Caenorhabditis elegans: one gene and its partners. The protein of the gene in region 2 purifies or fractionates together with the protein of the main gene of each other region. This does not show direct contact. Each region holds a gene or a part of one and is shown on either strand. Other genes may lie near its edges.

Evidence for each region.
Region 1: the proteins of C02F5.10 (region 2) and F26H9.5 fractionate together in Caenorhabditis elegans (co-fractionation; one large-scale study listed by BioGRID). This does not show direct contact.
Region 3: the proteins of C02F5.10 (region 2) and cyn-6 fractionate together in Caenorhabditis elegans (co-fractionation; one large-scale study listed by BioGRID). This does not show direct contact.
Region 4: the proteins of C02F5.10 (region 2) and acp-6 fractionate together in Caenorhabditis elegans (co-fractionation; one large-scale study listed by BioGRID). This does not show direct contact.

What each region holds. Positions count from the first base shown.
Region 1 is NC_003279.8:9,312,099-9,316,463, reverse strand, and holds F26H9.5 (putative phosphoserine aminotransferase), read left to right. Parts: upstream 1-1,975; 5' UTR 1,976-2,011; coding exon 2,012-2,132; intron 2,133-2,182; coding exon 2,183-2,252; intron 2,253-2,430; coding exon 2,431-2,512; intron 2,513-2,703; coding exon 2,704-2,997; intron 2,998-3,149; coding exon 3,150-3,695; 3' UTR 3,696-3,829; downstream 3,830-4,365. Other genes in the region: uev-3 (Ubiquitin-conjugating enzyme E2 variant 3), read right to left, coding at 3,860-4,077, 4,164-4,260, 4,314-4,365. UniProt on the Caenorhabditis elegans protein: Catalyzes the reversible conversion of 3-phosphohydroxypyruvate to phosphoserine and of 3-hydroxy-2-oxo-4-phosphonooxybutanoate to phosphohydroxythreonine.
Region 2 is NC_003281.10:8,248,152-8,251,384, forward strand, and holds C02F5.10 (uncharacterized protein), read right to left. Parts: upstream 1,331-3,233; 5' UTR 1,322-1,330; coding exon 1,192-1,321; intron 986-1,191; coding exon 891-985; intron 844-890; coding exon 661-843; exon of another isoform or gene 612-660; coding exon 582-611; 3' UTR 527-581; downstream 1-526. Other genes in the region: TM2 domain-containing protein C02F5.13, read left to right, coding at 289-502; C02F5.2 (DUF5356 domain-containing protein), read left to right, coding at 1,486-1,540, 1,591-1,697, 1,741-1,831, 1,878-2,011; Outer kinetochore KNL1 complex subunit knl-1, read left to right, coding at 2,485-2,630, 2,678-2,767, 2,820-3,225.
Region 3 is NC_003281.10:771,374-774,673, reverse strand, and holds cyn-6 (Peptidyl-prolyl cis-trans isomerase 6), read right to left. Parts: upstream 1,261-3,300; coding exon 1,063-1,260; intron 1,017-1,062; coding exon 609-1,016; 3' UTR 515-608; downstream 1-514. Other genes in the region: alh-11 (Aldehyde dehydrogenase domain-containing protein), read left to right, coding at 24-100, 151-281; tpst-2 (Putative protein-tyrosine sulfotransferase), read right to left, coding at 1,971-2,181, 2,237-2,445, 2,501-2,695, 2,742-2,868, 3,060-3,097. UniProt on the Caenorhabditis elegans protein: PPIases accelerate the folding of proteins. It catalyzes the cis-trans isomerization of proline imidic peptide bonds in oligopeptides.
Region 4 is NC_003282.8:6,424,059-6,427,749, forward strand, and holds acp-6 (Histidine phosphatase family protein), read right to left. Parts: upstream 2,082-3,691; 5' UTR 2,080-2,081; coding exon 1,885-2,079; intron 1,836-1,884; coding exon 1,701-1,835; exon of another isoform or gene 1,631-1,700; intron 1,617-1,630; coding exon 1,472-1,616; intron 1,424-1,471; coding exon 1,041-1,423; intron 962-1,040; coding exon 713-961; intron 664-712; coding exon 625-663; 3' UTR 542-624; downstream 1-541.

The DNA of each region.
Region 1 (4,365 bases), on a different chromosome or scaffold from region 2:
GCAGTTTGCCAAAACTCTGTCTGAAAATTTTGAAAAGTGTAAAAACTTTCGCAGTTTTCTATTTAGATTTTCAGTATTTTTGACTAATACTGAACATATTTTGGCAAACATCCCTGGTTTCGTTCAATAAGAATTTTGAAAAAGTGAGCTATAAGTTGAAATTTGTTAAAAAATTTTATCCGAAAATTTTGAAAAACGGCAATTATCGAATTATCGAGAAAATTCTCAGAATGAAATATTAAAATCTCCAGTTTTTTATGTGTTGGGAAGGAAAAAAGTTAAATTGTATTACCAAAAAAAAGACTCACTACAATAAAAGTTTATTAAACTCGATAATTGCCGAATTGCAGAATTCTCGAAAATTTTCGATTGCCGCCTGATTCCAATGTCAACAAGGCAGAAATATATTCCCAAGAGTTTAATGTTTGGGCCAGTCAGTTGTACATTTACAACTACATTATGCAACATTTCCTGTAGCGATTCGGTTTTTAGTACAAACATATAAACAGTTGACCTATTTAATTTCCAATTTATCCCACTCAAAGACACACCCATTGTTCTCACGAATCTTACATCATTATGATGACATTTATGGGGTTATTCAAGTAGTGTCGGAAAATTAAAAAGTGTAGAAAAATTACGTCACAACCTTATTCAAGTAGATAAAAACATGTATTTAAATACATTTGTGACGTCACAAATGTATTTAAGTACATTTTGCTACATTACTTGAATAACCCCATTATAGCCAAAAAACATGAGTTTATCTAAATAAACCATCTGTGTACGTGACTTTCATAACTTTCTTTTTGTTCCATAAAAGAGTCGTCTCATGATAACATCATACCCCTCCCCTCCTCTTCTTTTCCCTGTTCTCCGTCATTTATGCATTCATTTTGTTGCATGGCGGTTGTTGGTACACGTGTACCCCTTTTCTTATCATAATGATCAGCTTGCTAGCTTAGCGATTTATGTCCTCTGACTATTGTCATCTGAATTAGAAGATGTTTGGTATTTGTTATATTTTTGGATAGCTTTTTTTTGAAAAAAAAACATCAGTATTATTTGTTTGATAATTATTTGATAGCGTTGATTTCTCAACCCGAAATTGTTCACTTTTCAAAAATTTTGTTGGATTTTTTAATCTTCCAAATATTTGAAAGCAAACCAAATATAAAAACAAACATAAAGTTTCAAGTTTACTCGTATTTACTAAAAGTTATGGTTATTCTGAATTTTTCTGAAATACGAAATGAAAGGTACACAGTTTTAGTGAGGTGGGTCTCGCCACGAAACAAGTTTATGGTAGTACTTTTTATCATTGCGGCGGTCGCTTTCCTATTTTCCTAACTGTTCTTTTCGAAAATTAAATTTCCTTAAATCTTTTTTATCAAGAAAAACATTGATTTTAAAAGAATTTTCGTTTGAAAAAAACGGAAAGCGCGTTTACAACAACCGCCGAAAAAAGTGCTACCATAAACTTTTTCGAGTGGCGAGACCTGTTCAAATTAATCTGTGCGCCTTTTCAAAATTACGATATTACGAAACCATGAGTTCATGAGAATGCCTACTTTGTGGCGCGAAAGTAGCGGCAGCAGAGAGAACGTGCGGTGACGAGAGATTTAGGTGCCTTCGCTACGAGATATTCCCGCGCCAAAACGGTAGGCATTCTCATGATCTCATGGTCTCTTAATACTTAAATCTTGACCCATCCAACGGATTCTTTTGCAATTTTTTACACAAGAAATTCCAATAAATTGCTTTTGAGTTTAAAATATTCAAAATTATAACTTTAATTCATTTTTAAAAATTTAAATTTAAGTAAATTGAATCGCTGAATTGTTTTTAAACTTCAATCTCTCAGCATCATAAATATACTATTACTCTTCTTCTTTTTTTCTTCTTTTCCTGCAGGAATTCCTGCTCATTGTTCGAAACGTTTGTTTTTTGCGAAACCGCTACTCTATTTTTGCAGAAATCAATAAAACACACTAACCCTCTTCTCCATAAAATGGCAGCTCCCGGACGAAAAATTAACTTTGCTGCTGGTCCAGCAAAGCTTCCTGAAGAAGTTTTACTTAAAATGCAAGAAGAACAACTCAATTTCAATAATCTAGGAGTCAGTGTCATTGGTAAATTAAGAAATATGCGGATATTGTGAGAATTCAAGACAAATTTTCAGAAATGTCGCATAGATCGAAGGAATTCGGAGCTCTTCTCAATGAAACTATCAGTCTTATTCGGGAACTTATGTAAGTTCGATGTTTCTGAAATTATTCTGTAATTAGTTCAACTAGCTAGAGTGATGAAACTTGAAACATTGTGCACCAAGCCTTTTTAAAATTAAAGTGCAAAATGCTTCCATTCCTTCAAAAAAAGAAAAAGAAAACCCGGAAGTGGCATTTAATCTTAATAAAAATCTATTTGCAGGAACGTACCAGACAACTTTGAAATTCTTTTCATGCAAGGCGGCGGAACCGGTCAATTCGCCGCTATTCCTCTCAATCTTAAGGTATAATTTATGATAAGAGTGAAACACGTCTCTGATGGCTTTTGAGACTTCCCTAACTAGAAAAAAATGTTGTTTAAAACAATTTATCATTCCTAGAAAATGAAAAAAAAATCTTATGACTTGAAAAGTTAGGCAAATCTCAATATACCCACAATAAAAAATAAAATATAAAAATAAAGTTTCCTTTATAGGGTGATCATGAACACGCGGACTACATTGTGACAGGCGCGTGGTCTTCAAAAGCAGCAGATGAGGCTGGAAAATATATCAATGTGAAGAAGGTTTTTCAACCATCAAAACCGTATGTCACTGTACCAGATCAAGAGAATTGGGTTCACGATGAAAAAGCCGCATATCTGTATTATTGTGCCAATGAGACTGTACATGGAATTGAATTTACTCCAACTGCTCCAGAATCACATAATGTTCCATTGGTGGCTGATGTTTCTTCGAATTTCATGGCTAGACCATTTGATTTTAAAGATGTAAGCACAACTATGTATATAAAAATCTTTTAGAAAATTAGCCAGATGTTTTATCCTAATTTTACAAGATTTTGGCAAGAGAAAATCTTGTGAAATTACCAAATAAGTTTTATGAAAAAATCATTAACCTTTTTTTAAAAGTTTCATTTCAGCACGGAGTGGTTTTCGGTGGAGCTCAGAAAAACCTTGGCGCCGCTGGTCTTACAATCGTTATTGTTCGGAAAGATCTTATCGGAAAGCAACAAGCAATCACTCCATCTGTCTTCAGTTATAAAGAAATGATTGCAAATAATAGTTTGTATAATACACCACCAACTGGAGGTATCTACACAACAAATCTCGTTCTCAAATGGATAAAATCAAAAGGTGGACTTCAAGCAATCTATGAGCTAAACCTTCAAAAATCTGGAATGATTTATGATATAATTGATAATTCAAATGGTTTTTATCACTGCGCCGTTGACAAACGCTACCGTAGTATTATGAATGTTTGCTTCCGAATTGGCGGTCCATCTGGAAACGATGAACTTGAGGAGAAGTTCTTGAAAGGATCTATTGAACGAAATATGATTAGTTTAAAGGGACATAGATCAGTTGGTGGAATCCGTGCATCGCTCTATAATGCCATCTCAGTCGAGGAGACACAAGTACTTGCCACGTGGATGAATGAGTTCCAGAAACTCCATAATACTAACTAGTCGGGAGACACTATATTTTTCTTGTATTCTTATTCTGAATTTGTCTGTGATTTTTAAAAACCTTCATGTGCCTTTTTGATTGTTTGTATTTGAATTTTTAAAGTGATTTTAAGAACCAATAAATAATGGTTAACATTTTTTGTTTATTTAAAAAAAACAGAAAACTATGAAATTCCAATGACATCAATGTCTTCATCAAGAAAATCTTGTCTTCTCCTTTTTTTTGTTTCAGCAAAAATTGTCTTGCGTCCGTTTATAGTTCCTCCGGCCATTTTCATTACAAATTCCCGGGCTGTACGCTCGAATTTCGGCCAATCCTCTTTAGCAAGCCGCGAGATATTCGGTTGTGACATATCTTCCAATTGAGCAAGATTTCTACGTTCTGGAAGAGTTCATAATTTAATTTTTTAGTTGATATTTAGATAGCCAAGTAGTTTAAAATGTCTTATAAATGTAGAAAGAATTTACCAATATCATATTTCACATTTCGCATTCCTTCCACAATAAAATTATATAAAACTTCCAAATTGGATCGTCGTTCCCATTGAATTCCACGCATGTCCCACTGAATAATTGCAAAAAATTTAAATGTTTTCAAAATTAGGTTTTTAAACTTACGTTTCCATATTTCCCAAGATTCGGATGAAATATAAATGTGTGAAAACAAACT
Region 2 (3,233 bases):
TAAATAAATAAATTTTATTAAATCAGTTTTCACCAAAAATATTTAAAAAATCGATGAAAGTTCCACATCGACGAAATTTTGAAATTACAGTACTCTTTAAATTCGCATTTAACAAAAAAGGCGTGTCGAGACGTGGTACAGTACTCTTGCCGCAAAAGTCGCAAAATTTCGCGTCCGGGGTTTATTTTAAAAAAATTATTTAAAACTGACACAATAAAGATGCTCCTACGAAGAGATTATATGATTTTTGAAGTATATTCAGAAAAAATATAAATTTCATATTTTCAGATACAATGGTCACTACTTTCTCACAACTCTTCTGTATTCCATTTTTCTCGGTGTGGTTGCTGTCGACCGTTTTTGCCTGGGATATTCTGCAATGGCTGTCGGAAAACTAATGACTTTGGGTGGATTTGGAATCTGGTGGATTGTCGATATATTCTTACTGGTACTTGGAGTACTCGGACCCGCGGATGACTCGAGTTGGGAGCCGTACTATTAAAAGAAATTAACTAATACGAGTGGAAAATTAATTGTTTATTGGTCAATATTTACAACCGATCTCATATTGTCAAATCCAATCATTGCGGCAATTGTGTGCTAACTGTCACCTGTAAAATTTGTAATTTCCTTTGTCATTTACTTTATAAAGAAAAATACCTTAATCTTCGAAAGATCACGTCCGTCAATTATCTCACTGAAAATACGACTCATCATTTGAGCCAGCTTATCTGGCCGTTCGTCAATGATTGGAATGACAGGAGGCATTGCTGCTCTGAACTTTTTGATTTTTTCAATGGTTTCTTTGGAACGATAAGGACCACTGAACACGGATACCTTGTTCTGAAATTGGATGATTAGAAGGATTTACTACAAATTTGAATATTTACTGGAGCATTTTTGACGTTCAGAAGTTCAGCTGAGAACGGTTCATCACTGGCATCCCACTCTCCTTCAGTGCATTCTGGCAGCTGTTCGCCCTTATCTGGAAATTAAACTTTGTATTGTCCAGATGCGAAAACTGTAAAATAGCTTGGAGTTGGGTTACTGTAGTCCTTAAAGCCATACGCCTGTTTTCTAACTAAAAACGCTGCCTAAAAATATTTCGGTCGTGTCGAGACCGGGCACCGTACTTCTCAGCGTAAACTAACAAAATTTCGCATCTGTGTAATATTGAAATTTCATCCTTACCATCATCAGTAATTTGAATCTTCGGCAACTGTCGAATAGATTGCTGAACACTTGGTGCTGGTAGTTCCTCTTCTTTTTCGTCTTTTTTATCTTCTTTCTTTTCTTCTTTGCTTGGTTGCTGCTCTGCCATTTTTTGCCTCTTGATTTTGATTTTATCGTTTTGAAGAATAAAATTATTTCCTTTTCAAAAGATGTTTTTTCTTAATTAAAAGATTTCGAAAAAAAAATGCAATACACGTAATTTTGAGTTTTCACTTATGGAAATGTATTTTACAAATCATTTTCAAATACAAGATGGACAACAAAAAGAAGGAAGAAAATCCTAGTAAATCTGATACTTCTATAAGCCGTGAGTAATATATATAACTTTTCGGTTTTTTTTTTAATAAAAAGTTTTAGTTCCACCAAGCTCAACTGGAGAAGCGCTTCAAAATTATACAGAATCGGAATGGAACGCATCAGATGATCCGTATTCTGCAGAACTTCTCAATGTGAAAAAGAAGCCGGTAATTTTTATTTTTACGTAGATTTTCATTAAAACTTTTCCAGAATCGAGTTAATGTGTTCTCAGCAACTGAGAAGAACATGGAAACTATAATTGTCACTGAAGAATCTCCACCACAAACTCCATTGCCTTTAAGTTGAGAAATCACAAAATTCTGGGAACTTAATTTGTATTGGTTTAGAGCCTGTCGTAGAACACCACAATTTGGCTCGATTGATTCAGAAATCATGTCAATTGCTCTTGGATAAAACTACACCAGATGGAACAGAAGTGCAAATAAAATTAGAATTCCCTGACTGGAGAGATACCGCCTGATTCTCTATGTGTTGAATAAAGCTTAACGGTTAAAAAAAAATTAATTGAAATCTGCCTGAAAAAATATCTAAATACAGTACTCACAAGAGAAACTACGGATTTTGAGAATTCGAATTTCGTAGAAAATATTTTTGCAATGTGTATCAGCTGTAATGGTACATATATTTATTTATTAATATTGAATTTTATCTAATTTTTGAAACAATTGGTTTTTTAAACTATTAAAATTGTATTATACTGCCCCAAGTTAAGGAATTACTCGTAGTGTGCGTTCTACGGAACCGGTGGTGTGTCGAGTGCAGCTTCGCTCCATTGTACAAGTTCAATTTCAAACAGAGATTTGCCGCCAAGCAAAACTGCCTTCGTTTACTTTTCACTTTTTTACTTTTCCCATTTAACGAAGTTTATGCTGCCGTTGTTTTGTTATTTTTTTAATCATAATTTATTACCATTTTTAAAACATATTTACAGCCATGTCGATGGAGCCTCGTAAGAAGCGGAACTCGATTCTCAAGGTGCGGCAAGCCGTCGAAACCATCGAGGAAACCGTCATGAACAGTGGGCCTAGTTCCACAACAACTAATCGACGAGTCAGCTTTCATAACGTGAAGCATGTCAAGTCAGTTAGAGTCAGTGAATAATTTATCAATAAAATAATTATTTCAGGCAGTATGACAGGGACCATGGTAAAATTCTTGACGCCACACCAGTTAAGGAGAAGATTACTGACACTATTGGATCAGATGGTATTTTGACGTGAGTTCCATCCTTTAACGTGAAATAATGAATACGTAAAAATCTTTTTAAGACCACGTGGCGGAAACATGGATATTTCCGAATCTCCGGCCTGCACGTCCTCATTTCAAGTGTTCGGCGGTGGTAATCTCGATAAAACTATGGATATGTCTCTCGAAACAACTATCAACGAGAACAACGAAACGGCGAGATTGTTTGAAACCACAAGAGATCCAACACTATTATACGAAAAGATCGTCGAAACCACAACAAAAGTTACCGAGCGAATTGTTAGTATGCCACTGGATGATACCTTAGCAATGTTCAATACAACGAATCAAGAAGATAAGGATATGTCAGTTGATCGTTCAGTTCTTTTCACGATTCCCAAAGTTCCGAAGCATAACGCTACAATGAATAGAACTATACCGATGGACCTCGATGAATCAAAAGCAGCGGGCGGCCAGTGCGATGAAACGGTATGTTG
Region 3 (3,300 bases), 7.5 Mb from region 2:
CAATGAAAATCTCATTATTCCAGAGACCTCTCAAGATCCTATCGAGTATCTGAGCAGTTGAATGCTGGAAACGTCTATGTCAATACCTATAATGATGTTTGTAAGTTGCTCCGAATCCCACTAGATCTAGAAAAGAACCTGTAATTTCAGCGCCACTGGTTCCATTCGGAGGAGTCGGAGAATCAGGATTCGGACGTGAAAACGGAACAGCAGTACTCGAACATTATACTCACCTGAAGTCGGTCTTTGTCAATACCGGAACGTGCCCCAACCCATTCTAATGAGTCTTCAAATGTACAAATCTTTATACTTTACTAGTTAGACGAACGGATCGAGAATAAATTATTGCTTTTAGAAGTGTATTTCAACTTCAGAATTGAAACCAATACTCCACAAAGTTATGATATAGTGTTTTTGGTATTTCGAACATTGGCAAGTCAGGTTGCTCAATTATTAATACTATTACAAGTTCCAAAACGTAGCACATCCTGACAGCGCTGTATAATCAAGTACTGAAACAAAACACGTTTATTAGAATTTTAGAAAGTAATTATAGTACATTCAACAAAAATACACATATTAATTGGAAAACCCGTAGATCATTAGGTTTAATTAACTCCTGCTCTGGCGACAGTGAATGGGTTCTCTACTGGAATATGTCCAGCGTTGGCGATGACAACATCCTCAATTGGCCGATCTCCAGCTCCTTTTGGTGTAGCCTCGATCTCACGAACTACGTCCATTCCTTCCAGGATCTTACCGAACACCACATGCTTTCCATCGAGCCATGAGGTTTTGGCGGTAGTGATGAAAAATTGAGATCCATTGGTATCTTCTCCAGCGTTGGCCATTGACAACCATCCTGGTCCGTAGTGTTGAAGCTTGAAGTTCTCATCTTCAAAGCGCTCGCCGTAGATCGATCGTCCACCGGTTCCGTCGCCACGTGTGAAGTCTCCACCTTGAATCATGAAGTTTTCGATGACACGGTGGAACTTGCTACCAACGTATCCTTCTCCCTGAAAATATTAAAGTCTACAGAATTTAATTAACAAACTGAAATACCTCAGCTCTCTGTGCCAACTCAACGAAATTCTTCACTGTCTTCGGCACGACCTCTCCGAAAAGTCCGATGACGATTTTCCCAACAGGTCTTCCTCCGATCTCCATGTCAAAGAAGACCTTGTCAGTGACACGTGGTCCACGTGCCTCGGCTGACAAAGCCAGAATGGCGAGAACGAAGAAAAGAAGAGCACGGCTCATCTGGAAACTTGTTGAGATTTTGGATGCTCATTTTCATAGTAATATAATTAGAGTAGTATATGGTAAAAGTCGGATTTGACATAAAATATGATTTTTAAAAAAACCTCAAAGTAAGAATTTAGTTTCAAAATTAATCGTTTGAAGTTAAACAAAATTCTAATAATTTAGCCTATCAAAATTTAATCATAAGATTTCTAGTTCCTGATCTTTTTTCCCCTACTTTGTACTTTAAGTACTTAAGTACTAAGTACTAAGTTATAATAAATAAATATTTTATTTATAAATATAATGCATAGTATTTAATTTAACTAACAATGTAAGCAATTTTCTAGAAATCCAACAGCATGTATTTAATTGTAAGTATATTAATTGCAAGTTTTATTTTTCAAAAAATATAGAAGAATGCATTCAAAAATCCTGTTCGAAAAGAAAAAAACGACAAAAGAAAAATCGATACAGCTGCAGGAAGCAGCCGTGTCCGGCGGAATAGTGGACATTTGTGCGTGCGCGCATTCTTTTTTATAGTGTTGCAGAGAGTGTGGAGAATTAGAAAGTTACCTTGACCTCTATCTGAAAACAATGGGAGATAATGATAATGATGTAGGTTAACAGTTGTATCTATAGATAAAAATAAAATAATAACAATCTATGATGTAGGTAACTTTGGACATCTTATTTTCTATAAAAGTTATAGGTTACAGTGCAAAACTTTAAGAATAAAAATTTTTAAATTGGTAAAAATCGTCATCCGCAAATGTGGAATAATCGGGTTTTGAAATCGACGTATCGTATCCAAGAATTCCCAAAAAAGGTGCCACGTCATCAAGTTTTCGTAGAGTTTCTTCACTAAAACAATCAAACCACGAGGTTAAGGCTTTAGTGTTTATCGAGTTTTTAACTTGTGATGCAGAGAATTCTTGACTGCAAAATTAAGAGATAGTTGAAGTTCAAAAGTTTTAATGAAGAAAGCACATACTCGTTTAAATCAACTTCGTCTCCAATTAAATCTTGATGTCTTAGCATTTGCTGGGAAAATGGCAGATCCAGGAAGTTGGTGATACGTAGGATTTCTTCCGCAGGTTTTTGAATCAGTCGTTCATAATATACTTTTATGCATTGCCCTGGCGCATTATTGCATTGAAAAGTCATTTTTCGAAGCTCCTGATTCCACTGAACAAACATTGACTAAATGTTTCAAATTATCTTTAGAAATTCAAGAGTTTCATTAGGGAGACCTTACAATTTCATCAGACGTATTATACCCAGCAACTGGTACTTTTCTTTCTATCATTGAATGAACTACGGCACGAGCATCTCGAATCATCAGAATAAACTTTGCATTCGGGTACAGTCGGCGAATAGTCGGAAGCCACAATGCGGTGTATGGATCCTTGTTGCACAGACGAGGTGCTAGTTCACTGTGCTTCGCGACTATCTGTATGAATTGCAATTAAAGATGAACACGGTGACAAGAGCACTACCTCAGTGATGAATGCTGAAACAGCGTCGTCAAATACTTCCTGAGTAATTCCTGAATTATTGACCCAATCATTCCGCCAGCCTGCTTGCCATGTAAGGAAACTTGGAAGCAGCATGGTTTCACCGCCACTGAAAGTTTGAAGTGAGCAGAAGTAATACGTTTTGTTTTTTCTGAATAAGAAGTATCATATTGTCAAGAAAAAGTCTTGACTTCAGAAAGCCTTGTTTCGACGGAGTTTAAAAGTTTTAAAGGAGAAGAAATTCAAGATCTTTTGGCCAAGCGCAGCATACATCGCATTTTTGAAATTTTCTAAATTTACCATCGAACATCCGGATGTGCATCTAGAATAGCTCTCATCAAAGTAGTCCCACTTCTCGGCACACCACCCACAAAAATCAGCTGCTCCAAATTTGAGAGGAGTCGTCTCGAGTGTCGAGCATCTTGCTCATTGAAGATTAAGCTCTCTTTTGAAAGACTTAGCTGTTCTAACTTTTCCTGAAGTTTCTTACTGAAAAATTACCATTTTCAAGTAGAACCCACGATACACTTTTAATTACCAC
Region 4 (3,691 bases), on a different chromosome or scaffold from region 2:
TTTTCAGCGGTCTCGTTATGAAAATCAGGTACTTTTAGCATCTAAACAGCATATGTATCATGTTTGGGAAAAAGTTTGGGTTTTTTATTCCCGTAATCCATCATATTACATTGACCACTTTTACCGCTACTTGCCGACTGAACTCACAATTTTTTCACTTGGAAATTGTTTTAGCATCTGCAAAAAATATTTATTTATTAGTTTTGATAAGAAAAAACGGAAAAAAATCGGTGAAAACGAAAGAAAACACACAGAAAACAAAGCAAGATAAATGGCCGCTGAAATTTGTCGGGGACTCGGCCATGGCCTAGAAACCACTTTTCCTCGTCCCTCGTGAGGAAAAAGTTGCAGTGTATCAAGTGGACGATATCCAAACACTTCGGTTTCCAGTCTGGAGTTTTTTTTGTTCTCCATGGAGCTTCACGTATCTTTTAAATAGAAAAAAAAACGATTTTCATCGCAAAAATAGTTCCAAATCGAGGTATACCCCTTTAATGAGCACAGTAACCCATTCTCCGTTATTTTGCAATTTTCATTGATTACTTTCGAATTATTTATTAAAAAGTAACTACATTAGTACATACGAAGCGAATCAAACGATTATTATAAATTCATGCAAAGAATCTAAGCCTTGTCGCATTGAGACTTCCAATCGGAGAAGGACTGAAAATGTTAATTTGTTACAATAATCTAACCTATTTTTCCAACTTACGAATTGTTTTGCATAGGCGAAGAATTGTTCCAATGGAATGAATCCATCCTTGTCAGCCAATTTCTTAAGTTTTGGAGTAAGTTCAGCTGGATAGATGACATGATCATCGATTGGGTTAGGATCATGGTTGAGAAGACGGACAGCTGGTTTTGGAAGACGTTTAAATTCAACTACGAATCCAGCGGAGGTGGTCAGTTCATCCTTCACGTATCCCATCAATTTCATGACGGAAAGAGTGATTTCGGTGTGCTGGAATTTGAAATTTGTATAATTTTTTCACAGGAAATAGAGGTTTCACATTAATATTGACAGGTTGTAAATAACTTACAGAAGCGTATCCAATAACTTGTGGTCCCTTTCCAGCGTTAGCATCAGCAACCTTATCAATCAAATTCTGAAGCCAATATCCAGCCATCAAGTTTCCGCATGGTCCGTACTCTGCACAAGCGTTCTGATGAACTTCAGCAAATTCCAGAATCTTAGCCTTCAGCTTCTCGAAAGTGTATCCTTTCAACTTTGGAGCCTTAATCCATGATGGATATTCAGCCTTGTAGAGATCAATTTCAATGAGATTATCGGCCAAATCAGCAGCTTTTCCCAGATTCTCCATGTTCCATTTGGTGTTGTCAGAGAAGTATTTGAGCTCAGCTGCGTTGCTTGTCTTGAGCTTCTTGAGGAATGGAAGGGAATCCTTGTCGATTGGGCCCCAGACTGTAAAATCAGGATTTATATGTTCACATTATACAAGTACAACCGTACCCTTATCATTTCCTTTGCATTCCTTAACAGCGTACATTCTAAGAAGTGGATCATCAATGGCATATGGGACTGGAGACCAATGATCGTACCATTTCTTATCCCAATCCCCCCATTGTTCTGGATCGTGGAGAGCAGCAGTGACAGTCTAAAAATTTACTGTTTCAATGTGGCAACTTATAGTTAGATAAATTTTGATTATTTTACTTTGAATTCGGAATTCGCCACATACCTGAAGAGTCATTTGGCATCTGTTGGCAGAACTGGAGTAATATTTAACTTGAGATGAGTTGTAGTTACGAGAGATCAAATTTCCAATAAAGCTTCTCAATTCCTTTCCCAATCCAAGTCCTTGACGCTTTCCGAACTGAAATATTACTAGATTTCATTTAGAAACTCCAATAATTAATACTTACTGAAGTCAATTCAGTATTTCCCTCATGTCCCCAGCTTCTTGGATTCTCTTGGAGAAAAACTTCTGGATGACGGTTTCCGTGACGAGTTCCGAACAGCACAAGAACCGAGTTCTTATCAATTGCAACAGACTTCTTTGGGAGAAGATGGGCGGCTGAAGTAGCCAAGATCAAGGCAGAAAATAGTAGAAGGTTCATACCTGAAAATATAATTTCTTTGTCTGAGGTGGCGTAAAATACAACGGTAAAGTTGAAGAAACATATCACTTTTTAATGAGAGCAAACCAAGAAGTATGAAAACTGATAAAGCTTCTCATGACTAGACTACCTACATGCCTATTCCACAAACGTTGCAGGTCCGCAAGAAGGCATTTACTGTTTAGACTAAAAGGTAGGAGATTGTAGAATGATAGATTCAGGTTGAAAAATACATATTCTGAGAGCTTTTCTAGACAAATTTAAAATTCTGGTAATCAGTTAATTACACAAGAACACTGAATTGCCAGTGAACTTCCATCTTACCCGGCGTTTATATACTGTTTTTGTTTTGTTTGAAACGATAACAAACTGATAAGATAACACGACAGAACACAATTCAATAAAATTGAATTAAAAGAAGATATGACCCGATTTGAAATAAAAAGTATCTTCAGGTGTTTTGTTACCGTTTCATTGAAACAGAATGAACAAAAAACCGTTAGTTGTTGGTCTAATAGAGAAACCATTAAACACGGAACTAATAATTTTATTAAAAAAATCTCAAATGAAATATCACGTTAGTTCAGAAGCCTGCGCCGGCCTCGTACCTTCCCGCGTGCTCAATGATCTGCGAACCCTTGCCGTACAACTTTGGTATTCGTCAGGTTCAACTGAAAGGCACAAGGCAGGCGCGATAGAAGTGGGCCTACAAATCAGTCACTATTTTTAAATTCAAGCTGTAAAATAATTACTTTAACATGCATCCATGGCACATTTTGGAAACTGTTACTAACAGAAAATTTCAAAATTTTACTTCTATCCTGAAACCGATCGAGCACTAGATGCTAACTTTATCTTAAAATTACCTTTTTTCAAGTTACAAAAAATAATTCTTTTAACTTTTCTATCTATGTACCTAGGATAGCAATACTTGAGTACTGTAAATCTAAATCACATGCTACCTAGTACGATCTTGTCATTAAAGGATTTCTCAAGGCCGTGACAAGAGACCAGACGTGACAATACCAAAATATCATGATAAAAATATAGATCACAAACAGAAAGGATGTTTGGATGTACGTTCTCAACATTTTGTGCCATTCTTTTATACTCTGTTAGGTACGACCAAACTTCAATTCAATTTGGCCTCGAAATTGTCATGGAAGGGAGAAATGAATTGAAAATGAGACAATTTTAAATGAATGAAAGAAAAAGATGAAATACACAAAACACATAGAAAACAGACAAACATGAAGAAGATCAATTGTTTATTTGAACTCAAAAACTCCATGTTTCACCATCTCATCTTCAATTCAATTTCTTCCAATTGAATACACCAATTACTCTTTTTTTCTCTGTTTCACAAAACCACAAAGATCGCGAGAAAACTTTAGTTCCGGTTTTTCTCCGAGAATCTGCGAGAGTTCAAGGTGAGTTCAAATGACCGTGAATTGCGCCGTGGCAATTTGAATTTCAATTAGACAGAATTTTTGAGACTTCATGAGCAGAAGGCTGAAGTAAAGTTTGCAGAGAATACGGTAGGATTTGTCTAGTATATATGCCTCCCGGGTTCCTATCGCGATGGCTCCATTGTGCTAATTGAGGCATTCGC